Anolis sagrei: one gene and its partners. The protein of the gene in region 2 interacts with the protein of the main gene of each other region in a pairwise test. Links are inferred from orthologs where the notes say so. Each region holds a gene or a part of one and is shown on either strand. Other genes may lie near its edges.

Evidence for each region. The genes of interacting proteins can lie anywhere in the genome.
Region 1: the proteins of WWP2 (region 2) and ARRDC3 interact in binary tests that used the Homo sapiens proteins (3 or more experiments, as listed by UniProt). The link is inferred for Anolis sagrei from reciprocal best matches to the Homo sapiens genes WWP2 and ARRDC3.
Region 3: the proteins of WWP2 (region 2) and ATN1 interact in a two-hybrid assay, tested with the Homo sapiens proteins (2 studies listed by BioGRID and IntAct). The link is inferred for Anolis sagrei from reciprocal best matches to the Homo sapiens genes WWP2 and ATN1.

What each region holds. Positions count from the first base shown.
Region 1 is NC_090022.1:255,830,278-255,837,420, reverse strand, and holds the start of ARRDC3 (arrestin domain-containing protein 3), read right to left. Parts: upstream 3,065-7,143; 5' UTR 2,794-3,064; coding exon 2,514-2,793; intron 1-2,513. UniProt on the Homo sapiens protein: Adapter protein that plays a role in regulating cell-surface expression of adrenergic receptors and probably also other G protein-coupled receptors.
Region 2 is NC_090028.1:28,882,603-28,890,000, forward strand, and holds the start of WWP2 (NEDD4-like E3 ubiquitin-protein ligase WWP2), read left to right. Parts: upstream 1-4,395; 5' UTR 4,396-4,471; intron 4,472-7,398. Other genes in the region: RNA-binding protein NOB1, read right to left, coding at 365-498, 1,503-1,635, 4,224-4,286. UniProt on the Homo sapiens protein: E3 ubiquitin-protein ligase which accepts ubiquitin from an E2 ubiquitin-conjugating enzyme in the form of a thioester and then directly transfers the ubiquitin to targeted substrates.
Region 3 is NC_090022.1:198,147,678-198,155,394, forward strand, and holds the start of ATN1 (atrophin-1), read left to right. Parts: upstream 1-4,653; 5' UTR 4,654-4,676; intron 4,677-4,749; exon of another isoform or gene 4,750-4,955; intron 4,956-7,717. UniProt on the Homo sapiens protein: Transcriptional corepressor. Recruits NR2E1 to repress transcription. Promotes vascular smooth cell (VSMC) migration and orientation. Corepressor of MTG8 transcriptional repression.

The DNA.
Region 1 (7,143 bases), on a different chromosome or scaffold from region 2:
AGTCGCCTCTTTTACTACTAACGCCTGTCTCCTACCAGGATTTTGGACATTGTCTTTTGCACCTTTTAGTTTCTGAATAAGTGCCTCTTGAAAATTGCAAATACCCGGGGAAGAATGTGCACTTTGAATAGCAAGATTAAAAAAAATGCCATTTAATCTCAATGCAGACATTGCCTTCTTCCATCTTTTGGCAAAAAGGAAGCTGAAAAGACTTGCCTCGAAAGCAAGGGAATGGCTAATTTGCAACTTGCTTATTTTAACAAAAAAGGCTTCTATTAAATTCTCATATATGCAGTAAATCTGCATAAATATAGATAAGTGTGTGTATATGTGTGTGAAAGGGAGAGAAATTATTTATAGAGAAAGGGGGATAGAGAAAAATGTGGTCTATATATATCTACACATATGGAGAAGATATGTATATACATGTATGTAAATATATGTTCATATATATGTGTGTGAGGATATATATCTCCTCTCTCTTTCTTTCTCTCGCTCTCTCTATATATAAAAAGGGCAAGCCACAATTACATAACCGGTTTCCCCATTTTCTTGTGCTAGGAATTAAGTCATCGCCACCACCTGACACGCCTGCAGCCAATGGGCTTTGGAGGAGCAGGCGCAGCCCCCTCCCTTCTCCCCAGGACTGGTCCCAAACAGGATTGAACCGCTTTGAACAAAGGGTGGAAACTTCAGAAAAACAACCTTAGACTCTCCTAGACTTCCACATTGGGTGCCATAGCAATCTACAGATTAAACAGTCAGAAGCATAGGGAACCCCTTTGGGGAGGTTTGTTCCATTTTTGACTCCCTTGGCTAATATCAGGCATCCTTTGCAGAGCTCTAGGGGGGAGCTTTCCATTGACTGCCCCAACTTAGAAAGGATGCTGTTAATAATGCAATTATTGATCATATTCAATGGGGGGGGGGGTCCCCCTCCTTCACTTCAAAACCCAATTATCCATCCGCATTTGTAGGAAAAATATTCCGAAACAACGTTTTCCCCACAACTTTGTTGAGTTTAAAAGGGAATGCAAGAGGTACACGTGGGGTGCTGAAAGCAAGTGTCAAAACGCACCACGGGGAACCTATTTCTCGCCCAGCAACCCTCTCCAAAGGACATCACCCACAGAAGCCCCATAAGTGATCTTAATAAGGCACCTTGATATAGAGGGAGGGGAGGGGGTCACCATATAGGTACCTTGATATAGGGAGAAATAGTTTAAAAGCAAAGCATTAAGAGAAATTCCTCACTAACTGGATGCACAGGTGAAAGTATCCCTTTTGGAAAGACAGTGGGATTTTTTTTTTTTTTTAAAAAGTCTTCCCTTTGCAGATGGTAATCAGGTGGTCTTTACAATCTATTTACGTCTTCTAGGGTTTTTTTTTTAGCATGCATCCTAAACTCATTTATTGGGGGAATTGGTATTATTGTATTCAATGGGTCCTATCTCAGATGCAAAATCAAGGCGTAATAAGAGAAAATCCTCACCAACTGAGTGTCCCTATTGGAAAATATAAAAAAGTCTTTTGCAGATGGGAACAAGATGGTCTTTTAAGTGTTGTAGGTTTAAATGGCTACATCCCAATCTCAAGTATTGAGGTGAATGGGTGCCAATGCACTCAAATGGATGCTATTTTCCAGTAACCATGTTTGGTTTTTTCAATACCTCCACATCCCATGGCTATAAAGCTAAACTTGCTTGCTGGGGGAAAGAATGGGTGCCATTGCACTCAATAAGTCGCATTTTACAATAACCATATTTTGTTTTTCAATGCCTCTATATCCCAAGGCTTTAATGCTAAACTCACTTGCTGGGGAAAGAATGGGTGCCATTGCACTCAAATGGGTCCTATTTTCCAGGAATCATATTTGGTTTTTAAATGCCTCTACATCCCAAAGCTATAATGCTAAACTCACTCACTGGGTGCCATTGCTCTCAATTGGGTCCTTTTTACAGGAACCATGTTTGGTTTTTAAATATCTCCAAGGCTATAATGCTAAAGTCACTGACTGGGGGGAAGAATGGGTGCCATTGCTCTCAATTGGGTCCTATTTCTGAGTAACCCATCTTTTGGGTGAAAGTGTCCCTTTTTAGGAGAGACTGGAAAATATGAAGTCTTTCTTCCCTTTGCAGATGGTAATAATCACCACCCATTTAGGTCCAACTCTATTTAAATAGCTATGCACCCCAAGGTTATAATACTGAAGTCACTTAAATGGAGAGGAATGGTGTCAATGCACTCACTGGATGCAAATGGAGGCTAAGTCTTCCTGGGAATATAAAATACTTCTTTTTGCAGTGGATGATGGTCTTTGCAATCCATTTAGGTTGATTCGGTTTAAATAGCTATGCACCCCAAGGCTGCAACGCCAAACTCTTACTGGTCCTATTGCCCAGTAACCATCTTTGAAAACCAACCCAGAAAGCAACATGAAACAGATGGGGGAAATAAATAAATAAAATAATAATAATCAAAGAGAGGAATGAATGGGGCAAAGCCAGGCTCACCTCTTTCGTGCCCGATCAAGATATCCTTGTGGTTGAAATACTCGACTTCTTCCGTGTAGTTTTGCGTGTAGGCAGTGTTGGATCCCGCATTTCTCGACTCGGTCCAGCGGACTTTGGCGTGTCCCCTGGCGTGGATCTTTAAGGATTTCACCCGGATTTCCCCCGTGACTTCCAAATTCACCCTTCCTGAGACTGTGTCCCCGCTGGAATAGACGGGGACGTTGCTGTCATTCAGACAGTCGAAGCTGATGGTCAAACTCTTCACCTTCCCCAGCACCATGTTGAAAGTATTATTATTATTTTTTTGTTGATAGCAAAGTCTATAAAAATATATTCTTAGGAGAAAAAAAGGAAGGGAGAGTCAAGATCTCATATAGAAAAAAAATATGAGACTTTCCCCTTGACGCTGATCTGTATTGCTCTGCGAAAAACAGGCAGGACCAGCGTGGTTCTTCTCTAGGAGCGCTTCATTGGGGCTCCTGCAAAGGGACGCTGCAGCTCGGTTGGTCTCCTTACAAAGACGAAAGCCCAGCCGCTGCCACCTCACTTTAAGGAGAGCTTTGTGAAAAACAACCCCACTGCGCAGGCGCGGGCCTGCCTTGGCTCTCCCCCGCCTCCTCTCATGCTGAAGGTGTGTTGCAGAAGCAAGAGAGAGCCCGACTCGGCTGTTGCTGGAGAGCAACAAGACAAGCTGCTTCCTTGCTTGCTACCCCAACTTCTAGGATTTTTTTTTCCTTTTCCTCTTTAGGAGCAAGCCCCTTTTGCATTCCTTTTTGAATTAAAACTTGTCCAGTACAAGTTTTAATTCTGACTTGGAATTAAAGTCTGACTTGGTCACGGTAGTCCACACTCTGGTTACATCCCCGTATAGACTACTGCAACACTCTCTACATGGGGTTGCCTTTGAAGACTGTTCGGAATCTTCAAATGGTCCAATGGGCAGGTTGTCTTCCTTGGAGACTGGGATGCGGAACAATGGCTTCAAACTACAAGAAAGGAGATTCCACCTGAACATGAGGAAGAACTTCCTGACTGTGTGAGCCGTTCAGCAGTGGAACTCTCTGCCCCGGAGTGTGGTGGAGGCTCCTTCTTTGGAAGCTTTCAAACAGAGGCTGAATGGCCATCTGTCAGGGGTGCTTTGAATGCAATATTCCTGCTTCTTAGCAGGTGGTTGGACTGGATGGCCCATGAGGTCTCTTCCAACTATGATTCTAGGAGCGGCGCTCAGGGAGCACACAACTCCTCTGTTGCACCAGCTCCACTGGCTGCCAGTCGGCTACTGAGCACAATTCAAAGTGCTGACTTTAGCCTATAAAGCCCTAAACTAGGGGTTCTCAACCTTGGGTTCCCAGAAGTTTTTGGCCTTCAACTCCCAGAAAGCCTAACAGCTGATAAACTGGCTGGGATTTCTGGGAATTGTAGGCCAAAACATCTGGGGACCCCAGGTTGAGAACCACTGCCCTAAACGATTCTGGCTCAGCTTATCTGTCCAAACGTATCTCTCCTTATGAAACATCTAGGAATTTAAGATCTTCTGGGGAGGCCCTGCTCTCAGTCTCGCCTTCTTCACAGATTCGGTTGGCGGGAACAAGAGACAAGGCCTTTTCAGCAGTGGCCCCTTGTCTGTGGAACGCCCTCACTAGGGACATTAGATCGCCCCCCCCCCCTCTCTTAACATTTCGCAAAAAATCAAAACCTGGCTTTTTTCATCAGGCTTTCCCAAATGCTGTGTAGCAGACAAACCCTGATCTCGGAATGACTGGACAACCCGATTAGGTAATGATTTTGGTAATGAGATGCAGAGGATCTATGTTTTTATGGGGTTTATTATTTACTGAATGTTATTGATGTTAAATGTTTTAATTGTTTTTATGTTATTGTGGGCATCGAATGGTGCCGTTTTTAAACTGCCCTGAGTTGCCCTCAGGCTGAGAATGGCGGTATATAAATATAGTAAATAAATAAATAATAAATAACATCCTCAGCAGAAAGAGCACTGCTTGCAAAAGGCATACTCTCCTCAGCTCTCATGGCTCAAGTGCAGTATGTGTGAAAAAGATCTTGGAGTCCTCATAGACAACAAGTTAAACGTGAGCCAACAATGTGAGGCAGCAGCAAAAAAATCCAATGGGATTTTGGCCTGCATCAACAGGAATATAGTGTCTAGATCCAAGGACGTCATGTTATCCCTCTACTCTGCCTTGATCAGACCACACGTGGACCATTGTGTCCAATTCTGGACACCAGAATTGAAGAGAGATATCGACAAGCTGGAATGTGTCCAGAGGAGGGCGACTAAAATGATCAAGGGTCTGGAGAACAAGCCCTATGAGGAGCGGCTTAAGGGGCTGGGCATGTTTAGCCTGAAGAAGAGAAGGCTGAGAGGACACATGATAGCCGTGTATAAATATGTAAGAGAAAGCCATGGGGAGGAGGGAGCGAACTTGATTTCTGCTGCCCTGGAGACTAGGATGTGGAACAATGGCTTCAAACTACAAAAAAGGAGATTCCATCTGAACATTAGGATGAACTTCCTGTGTGTGAGAGCTGTTCAGCAGTGGAACTCTCTGCCCCAGAGTATGGTAGAGGCTCCTTCTTTGGAAGTTTTTAAAGATTCTATGAAAGGCATACCTCTAGCCCAGTGTTTCTCAACCTAGGGGTCATGACCCCTGTGGGGGGGGGGGAGAGATTGCGAAGGGGGTTTCAGAGGAGTCACTAAAGATAATCAGAAAACATATATTTCTGATGGTCTTAGGAACCCTTTTGGGAGAGAAGGCTGGAGATTTCTCCACCTGTCCTTATCTTCCTTTTTGGTGTTGGTGAACTACAACTCCCAGAATTCAAAAACAGCCTCTCCCCCATCCCCACAGTATTCAATGTTAGCATGTAGGTAGTGTGCCAAGTTTGGTGCAGATACATTGTGGCAGCGTTCAGAGTGCTCTTTGATTGTAGGTGAACTATAAATTCCAGCAACTACAATTCCCAAATGTCAAGGTCTATTTTCCCCAAATTCCGCCAGTGTTGACATTTGGGCATATTGAATATTTGTGCCAAGTTTGGTCCATATCCATCATTGTTTAGAGTTCACAGTGCTCTCTGGATGTAGGTGAACTACAACTCCAAAACTCAAGGACAATGCGCCACCAAACCCTTCCAGTATTTTCTGTTGATCATGGGAGTTTTGTTTGCCAAGATTGGTTCAGTTCCATCATTGGTGGAGTTCAGAATGCTCTTTGATTGTAGGTTAATTATAAGTCCCAGCAACTACAACTCCCAAATGACAAAATCAATCCCTGCACAACTCCAGTTGGGCATTTGTGCAAAATTTGGTCCAGTGAATGAAAAATCATCCTGTATATCAGATATTTATATTACAATTATATTATATTACCAAACAGTAGCAAAATTACAGTTATGAAGTAGCAACAAAAATAATTTTATGGTTGGGGATTACCACAACTTGAGGAACTGTACTAAGGGGTCGCACCATTAGGAAGGTTGAGAACTACTGCTTTAGCCCAAACAAAGCTGAAATGGAGTTTGAAAGGAAGGCTTGTTAAGGGCTGTCCTTGTCTTTAAAAAAATATTTTTATTAGAGTTTCAGAAATCTCATTTAAACCCAACAAATTAAATGCACACACATACACACATACCAAAGACGCATCAACACTGTAGAATTAATCCACTTTGACCCCGTCCAAACTGCCATGGCTCAATGCTATGAAATTCTAGGACTTGTAGATTAGTGACACACTGGGCAGAGAAGGTTCAAGCCCTTGTAAAACTACAACTCTTAGGTGTCCTTAGCATTGAGCAGTCAAACTACATTAATTTTACAATGTAGATGCAACTCTTACTGCTATAGCTCAGTGATATGGAATCTGGGTTTTGTAGATTGATGGTAAAAATGGTTTTAAACAGTGTATTTTAATATTGAGACAAATGTTTTTAATGTTTATGTATGCATATAATGAATTCTTGTCCTGGCATTGAATGCTTGCTGTATATATGCTGTGCTCCGCTCTGAATCCCCTTCGGGGTGAGAAGGGTGGAATATAATTTTTTAAAATAAATAAATAAAGTAAAGGTTTCCCCTGACATTAAGTCCAGTCGTGTCCAACTCTGGGGGTTGGTGTTCATCTCCATTTCTGTGTCGAAGAGCTGGCGTTGTCCATAGACACCTCCAATGTTATGTGGCCGGTATGACTGCATGGAGCACCGTTACTTTCCTGCTGGAGTGGTACGTATTGATCTACTCACATTTGGATGTTTTCAAATCGCTAGGTTGGCAGAAGCTGAGGCTGACAGCGGGAGCTCACCCCGCTCCCCGTATTTGAACCTGCGACCTTTCTATTAGCAATTTCAGCAGCGCTGTGCTTTAACTCACTGTAGCACTGTAGACTAAATACCTCTTTGGCAGAGGAGGCTCAAGGCCTTGTAAAACTACAACTTCCATACTTCCATAACATTGAGCCATGGCAGTTAAAGTGGGGTCAAACTGCATTCATTCTACATCATAAGATAAATAGAAGAGTCAAAATAACCCTGTAGCATTCCCAACCAATTATCACAGAATCATAGAGTTGGAAGAGACCTCGTGGGCCATCCAGTCCAACCCCCTACCAAGAAG
Region 2 (7,398 bases):
TAGAAAAGTTTTATTTTCATTGTGTTGTTGCACAATGAAATTAAATGCCTTCCCCAGCTCACACCACAAAACATACCCATCCGTTTTCAAAGGTCACTGGCAAACCAAAGAGATGTACCCTGATATTCAGTATGTTTCATTTATAATTATAATAATAAGAATACTCTGCCTCTCCTTGCAGCTCAAGGCAGAATACAACACAGTTAAAACACAACACTATCAAAATACATATAATATTATCATTTGCAAGAAAAGTAAAAATACTTTTGGGGGGTCATCTAAAAAACAGGTTAATTGGAGTATAAATGTGCATTTTGCACACTGAGGAGGCAAGCATAGATATGAAAGCGTCTGCTTCTCCCACCTTCTGCTCAGGTTCCGTCTTCAGGTGAACAATACCAACATTCTCAGCTTCCAGCTGGTAAGTCAAAGCCAGAACCTTTAAGTCTGTAGCCGAAAGGCTGGGATAGTCACCCGTCTTCTTGGAAAACTCGGTCACTAAAGAAAGGGAGAGAAAATGGCATTCCGTCATTGAATCCATATACAGAGCAGTAGTTTGATAGTCCCATGCTTTCCAGCCAAAAGGCCAAGGAAGAAGAGAAGAGGCTAACGATGCTTGCTCAGGGATATGGCCCTATCTCTCTCTTTGGGAATTATCAAAATAAATATTTATGACTTGAGCTACAGTCAATGCGGAGGCTTGTGTAACAGAAAACACATGACCAAAGTTGTGCCCAATAAAACCAAGGTAGCAGAAAATGCAGCATACAGAACTTGCCAAGGCCAAAAAGGAACTTTTAGAGACTAGTATCTTATATAAGGAAGTTATGGCTGCCCCAAATGAGCAAGATTTCTGAATGACTGAGGCTCTAGAGGCCACCTGTTTGCCAAGAGTCCAAATAAGCGGCCTCCAGAGGATTTGGGATGCAATCCCTGTACCTTTATGCATCGATACCTTGATTTAAGAGTCTAATTCGTTCCATGACAATACAAAGTTGTGGCAAAGAAGCCAAAGCACCAAGTAAAGAGGCAGAAGCATCCTTTTCTTCTTCCTCCTCATTCCACCCACCTTCCCTCCCTCTCACTCTTTATGAAGCCAAACAGATCAGGAATTAAAATTTATTAAAAACACACAAAATCAACAAACCCAAAGTTCCTCAAAGTGGACAAGAGCAAAGCGGATAGCAATCTCCCAAAGCAGACAGACAGAGCAAGAAGGTTGCTCCCTTGAAGCCCTAAAGCCCTGAACTCTTGCGTTAGCACTTCCTCTGGTGCTGGCTCTTAACTCAAAATGCTGCTTGTATGTCAAAGCAAACACAGGCCAATTGACAGTTCTTAACTCAATATGCTCTCAACTCAATTGACAGTTCTTAACTCAAAATGTTCTCAACTTGGGACACTCTTAAGCCAAGGTTCCACTGCATAAGTCTTGTATTCCAAACATCCTTCAAGATGGATGGCAATCTGGGAGCAAAAGCAGTAGGTCTGCAAGTGGGGCTTACCCAGGCGGATGTATTCAGGGAAGGGCTGTTTGAAGTTGAGCTGATAAGGAAGGACTGCCAGGCGACGCTTGGTCTCCTTGTCCCGAATCTCAGCCACCACCTCCCGCACAGTGTAGACGTTTTGGCCGATGTCCTGCACAGAGAGAGGGAAAGGGTTAGGGGGGTACCGCCGAGGAAGGCTCCACCCAAAAACATCCCAGAAAAGCAAACTCTTTAGGATTCCCAAGTGGTCTATAATGTCCCACTAGAAGTGGAAAGGATCACCAAAGACCATCAACTCCCTTCTTTCTGCTAGGCAGGGAGGCACGATCCAAGCCCCCTGAGAGATGGACATCCAGCCTCTGTTTAAAGCCCCCAGGAGAAGGAAAAAGACTCAGCCAGGCTCCCCGACAGTCTGTATCCTATGGGGAGGGGTCCCCAAAAGGGCCACCCAGTTCTTGTGCCACGATTGGGCTTTATCTGCTGCTGAATCCCAGCATTGGCTCACACTCAGCTCATGGTAGAATCACAGAACCCTAAAGCTGGAAGGAATCCTCAAAGGTCATCCAACCCCTTCTTTTTGCTAGCCTGGAAGACACAATCAAAGCACTTCCGCAGCCCCTAAGTCAAAACCTCCAGCAAAGGAAGGAGACTCCACTGGACTCCCAGGCAGTCGGTATGCTGCCATTGAATGGTTCTAAACATCAGAAAGTTCATCTTTAGGTTTCAATGGAATCTCTTTCCTTGCAGTTTGAATAATAGTAATAATAATAATAATAATAATAATATGTCAGTAAAATAGTTTTAATTTGGCTCAAGGTGGGTTACAGGATTACTAAAACATAAACAAGCATATAATAATTTTAAAACATTATATAAAATAACATACCTCTATAAAATATGTTTTAAAACACACAAAACAAAAACCAAGAATTCAGTAGAATTTAAAATTCACAATTAAAACTGGGTAGGCCTGCTGGAAGAGATAGTTCTTCATTTGTATCTTTAATTCCGACAGCTGATCCAGCTGTCAGGGCTCTACTGGCAGGTTATTCCAGTCAGGTTTTGGCTAGTGGAGCTACCACCTCCCAGAGGAACAAAGTAAGTGGGACGGATTGTATGGGAGAAGGCAATCCTTTAGGTAACCTGAACCCAATGGGATTTTGGCCTGCATCAATAGCAGTATAGTGTCTAGATCTAGGGAAGTCATGCTCCCCCTCTATTCTGCCTTGGTTAGATCACACCTGGAATATTGTGTCCAATTCTGGGCACCACAATTGAAGAGAGATATTGAAAAGCTGGAATGTGTCCAGAGGAGGGTGCCTAAAATGATCAAGGGTCTGGGGAACAAGCCCTATGAGGAGCAGCTTAAAGAGCTGAAGAAGAGAGGGCTGAGAGGAGACATGATAGTCATGCATCAAGTATCTGAGAGGAAGTCATAGGGAAGTCATAGGGAAGAGGGAGCAAACTTGTTTTCTGCTGCCCTGGAGACTAGGACGTGGAACAATGGCTTCAAACTACAAGAAAGGCGATTCCATCTGAACATGAGGAAGAACTTCCTGACTGTGAGAGCTGTTCAGCAGTGGAACTCTCTGCCCTGGAGTGTGGTGGAGGCTCCTTCTTTGAAAGCTTTTAAGCAGAGGATAGATGGCCAACTGTCAGAGGTGCTTTGAATGCAATTTTCCTGCTTTTTGGCAGAATTGGGTTGGACTGGATGGCCCATGAGGTCTCTTCCAACTCTAGGATTCTATGATCCCCAGATGAGGACCCTTGATGGCAAGCACACCTATTTCAATATGTTTTCCTCATGTTGCTGTTGTTGTTCATTCATTCAGTCGTCTCCGACTCTTCGTGACCTCATGGACCAGCCCATGCCAGAGCTCCCTGTCGGCCGTCACCACCCCCAGCTCCTTCAAGGTCAGTCCAGTCACTTCAAGGATGCCATCCATCCATCTTGCCCTTGGTCGGCCCCTCTTCCTTTTGCCTTCCACTTTCCCCAGCATAATTGTCTTCTCTAGGCTTTGCTGTCTCCTCATAATGTGGCCAAAGAACTTCAACTTTGTCTCTAGTATCCTTCCCTCCAGTGAGCAGCTGGGCTTTATTTCCTGGAGGATGGACTGGTTGGATCTTCTCGCAGTCCAAGGCACTCTCAGAACTTTCCTCCAACACCACAGTTCAAAAGCATCTCTCTTCCTTTGCTCAGCCTTCCCTAAGGTCCAGCTCTCACATCCATAGATGACTACAGGGAATACCATGGCTTTGATTAGGCGGATCTTTGTGGCCAGTCTGATGTCTCTACTCTTTACTATTTTACTGAGACTGGACATTGCTCTCCTCCCAAGAAGTAAGCGTCTTCTGATTTCCTGGCCACAGTCTGCATCTGCAGTAATCTTTGCACCTAGAAATACAAGGTCTGTCACGGCCTCCACATACAGCCTCATACAGCCCATTATATGCTCCAGGAATTCATTCCTTAGCTGAGGCTGCTTGTGAAGGCATGGAGAAATATATGTGGGCGTCACGAGCAAACTGCGAACCCAGGGAACAAGCCTTGCCTTCTCCTCTTCCAAATAAGGAAACATGGCTGCCGGGCCCCCTTCTCTCCTCCAAGGCAAACACTCCCTGCAGCTCCCTCAGCTCTTCCTGAGAGGAATTCCTGACTTCCAGGCCTCTGGCCCTTTTGGCGGCCCTTCTCTGGACGCCTCCCAGCTTAGAGCCCACCTGGAGGCCTGTGAGACCCACCTGGAGCGGGGCTGCCTTCAGAAAAGCCCCCGCGTCGGCCACAACGTGTTCCACCGGCGCCATCTTGCCCTCCTCTCCCGCGCAAGGCAGCCTGGGAAACGCAGGGCGCCGCTGATTGGTCCGCTTTGGCCTCTCTCGAACTTTGCCCCAGAAAGGCGGAGGGTCATGTGACGCCTCGCCTGCCTGTCACATGACCCACGACTTACAGGAGGCGGAAGTGGGAAGAGGAAGGAGCTCAGCCGCCGCCGGTAAGAGGAACAGCCTGTTGCCGTTAGTCTTGTTGTGGTTTGTGTGGCTGCTGTGAGGCTTCTTCCCCTTCCTCTCAAGGTCCCAGGCTTTGCTTGGGGTTGGGAGCTGAGGCGGGTCGGCCTTGGATGGGACTTGGAGGGGAGACCGGTGGGGAACGCCAGAGGAAGGAAATGAAGGGGGAAAGCGCCTTCTCGGGCTGCAGTTGCCAGAAGGGGCGACTGGGGGATTCTGGGAGTTGCAGTCCGAAAGGAAGACCCTTCCTCAAACCTAGAAGGCCTCCTTCTCTCTCTGACACAGGCCTGAGCCAACTTAGGCCCTCTATCCAGGTGTTTTGGACTTCAATTCCCATAATTCCTAATGGCCTCAGGCCCTTTCCTTTTCATTGCTTATTGACAGAACCCCAGCCATCACTTGCCCACTTCTGCTCCAGCCCTGGCTCTGATTCTGCCCAAAGGCCCTCTGGACCTCTGTGGATGACACAAACGAGCATGAGCCTCATCTGTCACACTCAGAGTGATGTTGAGAGTGATCCAGTGGGTGCTGATGGAAGAAGAGAATAGTTTAGAGAAATAAATAAATATAGAATCCTACCTATCCGACCGCATCTTTGCCTATGAACCCACCAGGACTTTGAGATCTTCCGGGGAGGCCCTGCGCTCGATCCCGCCTGCTTCTCAAGCACGGCTGGCGGGGATGAGAGATAGGGCCTTCTCGGTGGTGGCTCCTCAGCTGTGGAACGCCCTTCCTATGAACATTAGATTAGCACCATCTCTAATGGTATTCCGCAAAAAAGTGAAGACCTGGCTGTTTGAGCAGGCGTTCGAATAATTAGTGCAATGATTGGTTAATGAACACTGGAATGGAACAATGGATGACAAATCTGGAACATGTTTTTGATGACGAGACGACAGTGAATGGGTATTGTAGTAACTTTATTAATTATGTAATGTGTTACGCTGTGAACTGTTTTTATACTGTAGCACTGAATTTTTGCTGTTCGTATTTGTTGTGAACCGCTGTGAGTCACCTTCGGGCTGAGAACAGCGGTATATAAGTAAGGTAAATAAATAAATAATAAATAAATAATTAATGCTGGAGTTGGAAGGGACCCCCAAGGGCCATCCAGTCTGACCCTTTCATTCATAGATAGATAGATAGATAGATAGAATGGACCATCCAGTCTGACCCTTTCATTCATAGATAGATAGATAGATAGAATGGACCATCCAGTCTGACCCTTTCATTCATAGATAGATAGATAGAATGGGCCATCCAGTCTGACCCTTTCATTGATTGATAGATAGATAGATAGAATGGGCCATCCAGTCTGACCCTTTCATTCATAGATAGATAGATAGATAGATAGATAAAATGGGCCATCCAGTCTGACCCTTTCATTCATAGATAGATAGATAGATAGATAGAATGGGCCATCCAGTCTGACCCTTTCATTCATTGATAGATAGATAGATAGATAGATAGAATGGGCCATCCAGTCTGACCCTTTCATTCATTCATAGATAGATAGATAGATAGATAGAATGGGCCATCCAGTCTGACCCTTTCATTCATAGATAGATAGATAGATAGAATGGGCCATCCAGTCTAACCCTTTCATTCAAAGATAGATAGATAGATAGAATGGTCCATCCAGTCTGACCCTTTCATTCATAGATAGATAGATAGATAGATAGAATGAATGGGCCATCCAGTCTGACACTTTCATTCATAGATAGATAGAATGAATGGGCCATCCAGTCTGACCCAATCATTCATAGATAGATAGATAATTTAAGGTGCTGGTGTTATCCTACAAAGCCCTAAACGGTTCCGGCCCAAAATACCTTTCGGACCGCATCTCGGCCTATGAGCCCACGAGGACCTTGAGATCGTCCGGGGAGGCCCTTCTCTCGATCCCGCCTGCTTCACAGGCACGTCTGGCGGGGACGAGAGAGAGGGCCTTCTCGGTGGTGGCCCCCCGGCTGTGGAACACCCTCCCTGCTGACATCAGACAGGCGCCCTCCCTTATGTCCTTCCGTAAGAGCCTCAAGACATGGCTATTTGAGAAGGCATTTAACTGAGTGCTACAGTAACTGGAAATGACAACTGGAACGGAATATGGATTACGAGATTGGTTATGATTCTACTATAAGACGGAGCGGATTTTTTAGTGTAATTAGATAATTGTGTATTAGTGATATATTGTTTTTTGTCGTTATGGCTTATTGTAAATTGTCTTTTATATGTTGTACACCGCCGTGAGTCGCCCTAGGGCTGAGAACGGCGGTTAACAAATGCAGCAAATAAATAAATAAATAAATAGATAGAATCTTACAGTTGGAAGAGAATCGAGGGCTATCCAGTCCAATCCACTAAAAGACAGAAAGAAAGATACATATATAGAGGTCATAGAATCTTACAGTTGGAAGAGAACCCAGCACTATCCAGTCTACCCCTCTAAATCATAGGTCTCTTCCACACAACCATATAAACCAGAATATCTGCTTTGAACTGGGTTATCCGAATCCACACTGCCATATATTCTAGTTCAAAGCAGATAATGTGGGATTTTATTCAGCTATGTGGAAGGGACCCTAAGGGCCATCCAGTCCAACCCTATAAGTCAGTGGCTGCTAAACTGGCTGGGATTTTTGGGAGTTGTAGGCCATAACACCTGGGGACTCACAGGATGAGAACCACTGCTCTAAGTCATAGATCAATAGAATCCTAGAGTTGGAAGAGACCCAAAGGATCATCCAGTCCAACCCGACAGATGGCCCTCTAGCCTGTCCTTGAAAACCTTCAGAGAAGGTTTTTATGGAGATCCTCAGTGAGACTCATCAACTAGAGGGAACCAGCTAAGCCTTTTCCCACTGGTCTGACTGTTGTGGTTCTCTTTATTCAGTGGCAGTACATGCTGAAGAGT
Region 3 (7,717 bases), on a different chromosome or scaffold from region 2:
ACACAATTATTGAACTGTAAGTCCTGGCAACAAAGTAGCTATGGGAAATGTGGAGAGCCCCTCAATTTTTTTTTGTTTTCACATCAGGAGCAACTTGAGAAACTGCAAGTCGCCTCTGTTGTGAGATAATTGGCCATCTGCAAGAACATTGCCCAGGGGACACCTGGATGTTTTGATGTTTTACCATCCTTGTGGGAGGCTTCTCTCATGTCCCCACATGGAGAGCTGGAGCTGACAGAGGAAGCTCATCCACGAACCTCCAACCTGTTGGTCTTTAGTCCTGCTGTCACAGGGGTTTAACCCATTGTGCCACTGGGGGCTCCTAAGAATAAGGTAAGAGTATGACAAAAAGCCTGTAGTAATGCTAAAATAAAACACTAGAGAAACAAGGAACAGGGAAAATAAAGCCAGAGGTGACCTTCATAGGGAAAAATCCAAGCCTCAACTAAAAATATTTGCAAAACCTGGTCTAGGACAGAGCTTCTTAAAGTTCTTCTGCTCATGATCCCTTTCTATCAGAGAAATTTGTACATGATCACAGGTATATAAGTATACAAAATAGTTATACTAATCGAACATTTACTGATAATAAATCAGCTTTTGCAAGGCTTGCTAAAGAGGCTGATTTACCTTTTTATGAAGAAAAGCCGAAGTATTTCCTTCAGAGTCCATTGTGAACACTGCACTGTTGTTGCTAACAGATTCATGTCAATGTCTAAACCATCCACTGGGTGGTGCTCAAAACCCTTTTTCTGTTGCCAAATTTTTGCAACCTCTTATGGAACCCTATTTGGAGTCAGGACCCATAGCTTAAGAAGCAGTGGTCTAGACAACGAAGAGCATAAAGACTACCATTTAGGAGAGCTGTGAGGAAACCTAAAAGGGCAATGCAACTGCTATACACTATTCCTTCACTTTCTATATTTTCATATAGTTCGCCACCAGGTACATCTACCAACACATAAGCTTCATTGAAGTCAGAACTACCCTGTGTACTCATGTATACAAGTACTGAGTACATAGGTAGTTCTGACTTCAATGAACATCTTAAACACCTACCCACCAACTCTGCTACAGGACACAAGATACATTTGCATGCAAACTTACTAAGTCCTATATGTATATAGGACTTAGTAAGTTTGCATACAAATGTGTGTGTGTGTGTATATATATATATATATACACACACACACACACACATTTGTATGCAAACTTACTATATATATATGCCATTTTCCAAAAATATTTTTAAACCTATATCTATATCTATCTATCTATCTATCTATCTATCTATCTATCGGGTTAAAAAAAAATATTTTTGGAAAATGGCATTCACCACCATTTTGGGAAAATCAGGAATCTCCCTGAGAATAGTTAAAAACTCGCTTGAGTCCTTAGTGATAAATATCAATCAGCATTCATGCAAAGCAATTAGGTTTCTCAGCTGTTAAACCAATATACCTAGACATCTCTTTGAACTGTTTGGGACAAAGATATTCCAATGCACATACAAACACACACACAGGCTGGATAGCCATCTGTCAGGGGTGCTTTGAATGCAATTTTCCTGCTTCTTGGCAGAAGGCTGGACTGGATGGCCCACGAGGTCTCTTGCAACTCTATGATTCTATGATATATAGCAGAGTTTTAGAAGTGTTCTTTCAGTTGCCCAAAAACATCTACTCTCCCTTAAAACATCTTGGTTTTAAATCATGCTCTCAAAAGACAAAATAAACAGACTTCTTTAAAAGTAACATAGTTGGTTTACTCACAGATTTCATGTATTCAGCATACAGTTATTTTGCTCATCAATCCAGTTACAAATAGAGTTTGAAGTAGTTTGTGCAGACAACACAGGGCATCTTTCTTATAATCACAGTCCATAGTCTAAAGCACCTCTCTGGTCTGAGAGTCTAAAAGGCTGTCTTTTTCTAAAGTCTTCTAAGGTATACTTTTTCTACATTGAAAGTCTAATGGCTTCTGCTTCTAATGGCATCTGAAATCATACAGTTTCTAAAATGGAGTCTGAGTCCTGAACAATCCCACATCTGATCACATGGTTTGCCGCCCCTCCCACAACATAGAGTTAAGGAAAAAACTGCATACCAATACACACATATACAATACACTAAGCAATCTGAATTATATACATAACAAATAACTAGTGGAGGCTTGAAGAAAGTTGCAATTTCCAACAGATTTTGCTCCTGTTCTTTTTAATTTTGCACTTTGTTAAAATAAACCAACCTGGGGAGCAGGTATAAAAAGTATCTAACTGTATCAGAAGCTGACAAAAATATTGTGGGATAAACAAAACATGCACCTTTTATGGTTAGTTAGGGAGGAGTGGTGAACTTCCCTTGTATTGCTACAATAGCGCCAACACAAGTTGGCTGGTTGTGGGATACTTATATACAGACATAAATAAGTACATAAGCACGAGCATTGCCACTCATCTAGCAAAAGCCAATGCAGTGACACTACAAGGGGCCACTTCAATTAGCAATAGCTTTGTGCTACAGGCAGACAAACAGATACGCATGCATACTTTGACCGACAGATAGATAGATAGATAGATAGATAGATAGATAGAGTGATAGAGTGATAGAGTGATAGAGTGATTGACTGAGGCTGCCTAGTGGTAAGGCCATCCTCTTCCCTTTCATGGGGGTCCTGTGCCCAGAGAACATGGAGACCTGACATTATGTGCACCAATAAGACACCAAAAGTTTTACAAACCATAGGCAAGAGACAAGCATTTTCTTCCATCTTTAGCAAACAATACTTACAAGAGGTTGTTTTATAAGAGGGCTATGGTAATAATTGATGACTGCCAATGGTGTGGCTATACATTGCCTCCAAGAGGAGAGGCAGCACTGCCTATAGCTAGAAAGACCAGTCACTGAATATGTTCATGCAGCAAAGGGTTTGGCATAATCTTCAGCAATGTGCAATGAAAACACTCAAGCAAATTTCCATTTTTGGGAGATCAAGGGCTCCAGGACATTAGAAGTACAGATGTGCATCCCTATAGTGACCCACGGCATGTTTATCTCTTTCTTTCTTTATTTGCTGCATTTCTATCCCGCCTTTCTCAGCCCGAAGGCGACTCAAGGCAGCTTACACTGGCACGATTCGATGCCACAGTGAACATTAAAAAATTAAAACAAAATTTAAAACAATTAACACAGAGACTTCACAACCTCTGAAGATGCTTGCCATAGATGCAGATGCTTGCCATAGATGCATCAGGAGAGAATGCTTCTAGAACATGGCCATATAGCCCAAAAAAACTACAACAACCCAATTAACACACATTATAAAAACCCTGTAAAAAGCATTAAAAGCATAAAACACCAGTAACTTCCTATTAGCTCATTTTCCAAAAACATTGTCAAGCCATACCATGTTCATTCTTTCCTGGGTTCCATATTCATCCATTACATTGCGTTTTCAAAGGCTTGTTCAAAAAGCCAGGTTTTAAATTTTTTTCAGAATGTCAGTAGAGAGGGGGCTGATCTAAGGGAGTTCCATAGCCGAGGAGCCACCATTGAGAAGACCCTGCCTCTCGTCCCCACTGGGCACGCCTGCAATGAAGGCACGATCAAGAGCAGAGCCTCCCCAGAAGATCTTAAATTCCTAGCTGGTTCATTGAATCAACCTAGCTAGTTGATTGATTTTTCCAAGACTTTCGCTTTACTCGAAGGCTTTCACGGCCAGAATCACTGCAGTGTGGTGTGGTTTTGTCATATGTTCCATAGTTGATGGTGGTTGGTGGTGGTAGACCTGGCAGTTGGTGATGGAAGGATTAATGTAAGTCTTGGTTCTAAAGGGTTGAGTAGTTTATAAGTAACAGTTTACAGGTAAAAGAAATTACGAGTGGAGGTGTGCAGGAGATGGGTTGCAGCTGGGTATTACTGGATTTAAGGAGCTAACTTTGAGACTTATCTTTGGGAGAAAAGTATCTGTTGCATTTTGGTGGTGGATGTTGCTGGCATTTGACCATTGGACTGGACCCTTTTGACTACGAAGTTATTTTTGCTATCAGTTTTTGTTTATTCTGTAGCTGCGTGCTATCTTTGTGTTTTATATTTTGGTCTATTGAAACAGCCAGCAAGTAAGTGCTGTTTTAATTAAACTGTTTGATAAAACTGATAGTTTGATTAATCTCTACCTAAATAAGGTAGAGCCCTGGCAACGTGACAGGTTTAGGGCCCTGTTCTAGCAACATGTTCTCATGACATTTCAACCATATCTGTGGCTTCAGATCTTCTGAAGATGCCAGCCACAAGAGAAAATGCTACTAGAACACAGCCATACAGCCCAGAAACCGCACAACACCACTTTCATTTTTGTTTCCAAGAATCATTGTGAAGCCCAGAGTGGCACAGCCCACAGTGTGGCATCTTCGTTGCTTATTTATGTATAAGATCCTGTGTTTTCATACATATTCTGCATCCTGGGCTGCTACCGCACATGGCCCCATATGGAGTCTGACGGTGGCTCCTGACATCCTTGACATCAGTCCAGTGGGAAAGTCGGTTTGGCTCTCTGGTTTCTGTGAAGACAATAGCAAGGAGCTTTCTGGGAGCTGTAGTTCAGAGACCTTTGTATAAAAACTCCATTTTATTTCCTTTTCTCAGACTCCTCTCTCCAAAATGCAATCCCTTGAACAGGTAAGGGGTTGAGAGGGGAGCAGGTTTGCAGCCGCCCTTTCTGGTGTGCCTTCCACTAGAGGGCAGAGGCACCTAAGGACAGGGCCTTGCGCATGGCACCAGAAAAAGGTGAAAGAGTTAACAATACATGGCTCGCTTTGGAATTTGCAAACCTGAGGGGGAAGTGGGGATGCTGCCCTACATGGAAGGCCGCCTGTTTGGGGCCTGCGGGGCAAACCTGAAGAGTGCCAGCAGAGAGGCTGATAGTCATCAGCTTGGAAGAGACTGAGCTATACTGAGGTACAGAGCAAAGAAATGCCTTCCCATTGCTGTAGTCGCATACTTAATACCTGCCTAGAACAACATTTGGTGCAGTTTTGAGCACAATTGTTTTTCCAGCTTCCAAGATAATAGGGAGTGCAAAGCATAGAAGCCTAGGGAAAGACAACCGTTTTTAAGAGAATTCAAAATGGTTTCAAATATATTTATTTTCCCACGATGGAAATGTATGCAAATATTGCTTTTGTCCCACTTTCCACTCTGGTCAAACAGGTTTTGCAGGTTTTAAAGAAACAAAAACCTGCAAAACGTGTTTGATCGGAAAATATGATCAAAAGAGGGAGCATTGCTTTTTCAAACTGTCTGCAATTCCCTTACAATATTATGTATTAACTTGGGTACCAGGCGCTGGTTGGGTTATTTGAAAATGTCAAATTTTTAGTTGTACAAATTGCATAAGGTTGTGGGTGAACTACAACTCACATTATGCCAGGTTAATCCCGAAAAATTCAATCAGTACTTAAAAAATTGTTATGTTGGTCAAGTTTGCTCTAGATAAGTGTTTCTCAACCTGGGGGTTGGGACCCCGGGGGGGGGGGGGGTCACCAGGAAGGTTTCAGTGGGGTCACCAAACACCATCAGAAAACACATATTTCAGATGGTTTTAGGAACCCCTTTGGCAGAGAAGGCTGAAGATCTCTCTGCTTGTCCTTCTCTTCCATTTTGGAAACAGACGGCAAATCCTCCTACTAAAAGCCCTCCTCCAGCTCTCTGGATGTAGCTGAACTACAACTCCAAAACTCAAGGTCATTGCCCATCAAATGCTTCCAGTATTTTATGTTGGTCAGGGGAATTCTGTGTGCCAAATCTGGTTCAATTCCATCATTGTTGGAGTTCACAATTCTCTGATTGTAGGTGAACTATAAATCCCAGAAACTACAACTCTTAAATGACAAAATCAACCAATCAGTATTCAAATTTGGGCATATCGGGTATTTGTACCAAATTTGGTCCAGTAAATGAAAATACATCCTGCATATCAGATATTTACATCATGATTACGATTCATAACAGTAGCAAAATTGCATAAAGTAGCAATGAAAATAATTTTATGGTTCAGGGTCACCACAACATTAGGAGCTGTATTAAGGGGTTACAGCATTAGGAAGGTTGAGAAACACTGCTCTAGGTGCATCATCGATGGGGTTCAGTGTGCTCGCTGGCTGTAGGGTAAACTACAATTCACTATGGTGAGTCAGTCCCCTCAAGTCCCTTCAGTCTGTTGAGTTGGTCATGGGGTTTCTGTGTGCCAAGTTTGGTCTAGGTCACAGTTTTGCTAGTTGCATGTGAACTACAACTCCCAGAAAGGAAGGTTGGTTCCCCCACCCCCAGTAATCAAATTTCAGCTTATCAGGTATAAGTTTGGTCCAGATCCATCGGTGTTTGGGTTCACAGTGCTCTCTGGATATAGGTGAACTACAACTTCCTCAAATCAAGAAGGATTTCCCCCAAAGATCTCCATGGGGGCCTCTATGTACCATGTTTGTTCAATTTCCATCTTTGGTGGAGTTCGGTGCTCATTGATTGCAAGTGAACTATAAATCCCAGTACCTACAACTCCAAAGTGTCCAGGCCAATTCCCCTCAAAACCCACAAGTATTCAAATTTGGGCATATTGGGTAGGCATGCCGAGTTTGGTCCAGGTCAATTATTGTTTGGGTTCATAGTGTGCTCTGGATGTAGGTGAACTGCAACTTCTATACATCTCCTCAAAGATCTCCAGTCACTTTTTGTTGGTCATGGGGCTTCTGTCTGCCAATTTAGAGCTTTAAGATCTGCTGGGGAGGCCCTGCTCTCGGTCCCACCCCATTCGCAAGTGAGACTGGTGGGAACAAGAGACAGAGTCTATTCAGTGATGGCCCCTTGGCTGTGGAACTCCCTCCCCAGTGACATCAGGCAGGCCCCATCCCTCCTGTTCTTTAGAAAAAAGCTAAAGACCTGGCTTTGTATGCAGGCGTTTGGAGAATAAAATATTAAGGAATTCAACCTCAACAGCCTGAATAATGACTATGGATTTTGGATAATGACTATGAATAAGCATGAAATCAAGACTCTGCATTTTATATGTTTATATGTTTTTAATTTGTTTTATTGCTCTATGTGTTTCAATTGCTCAGATGTTTTTAATGTTTTAACTGTTTTAGAGTTTGATAGGGTGTGTGTTTATTGTTATGTTCTGTTGGAGCTCAGCCTGTGATTGAGTTTCAGGATCAGGGCGCTTTGGATGTGGGGAGTGATGTCAATGAGTTTCAAGATAGCAATGGTTTGGTCTATGATATTGACGCAGAGAATGACCAGGAGATCCCTGTTCAAAGTGTAGTTTCCCATGAGAATATCCCTATAGGGTGTGGGGATGATGGTGTGCTCCCTGAACTACTACCAGAGAGTTCCCATGATTTGGAACTTGAAAGCAGCTTGGCACCTGTTAAGTCGCCTAAGGACTGAGAAGGGCGGTATACAAATATAGTAAACAAATAAATAAGCAAATAGATAGTTGGGAGGAGATTAGTTAAAACAGAAAAGCTGAACAGTGGCTTCAGTGTTCTGCCAGGTTCCGAGAAAAAAAGATAAGAAACTCTCAGCTAAAGTGAAACCAGTTTCTGAGCGCTAGAGACATAGCTAACGAGGAGATAAAAGTCCCAAGTACAGGATATGTAGTCAGATGAAGCATCATTTGGAATCCGCAGGTTTGTTCCGCAGGTGTGCCTTGGGGTGCTTCCAGG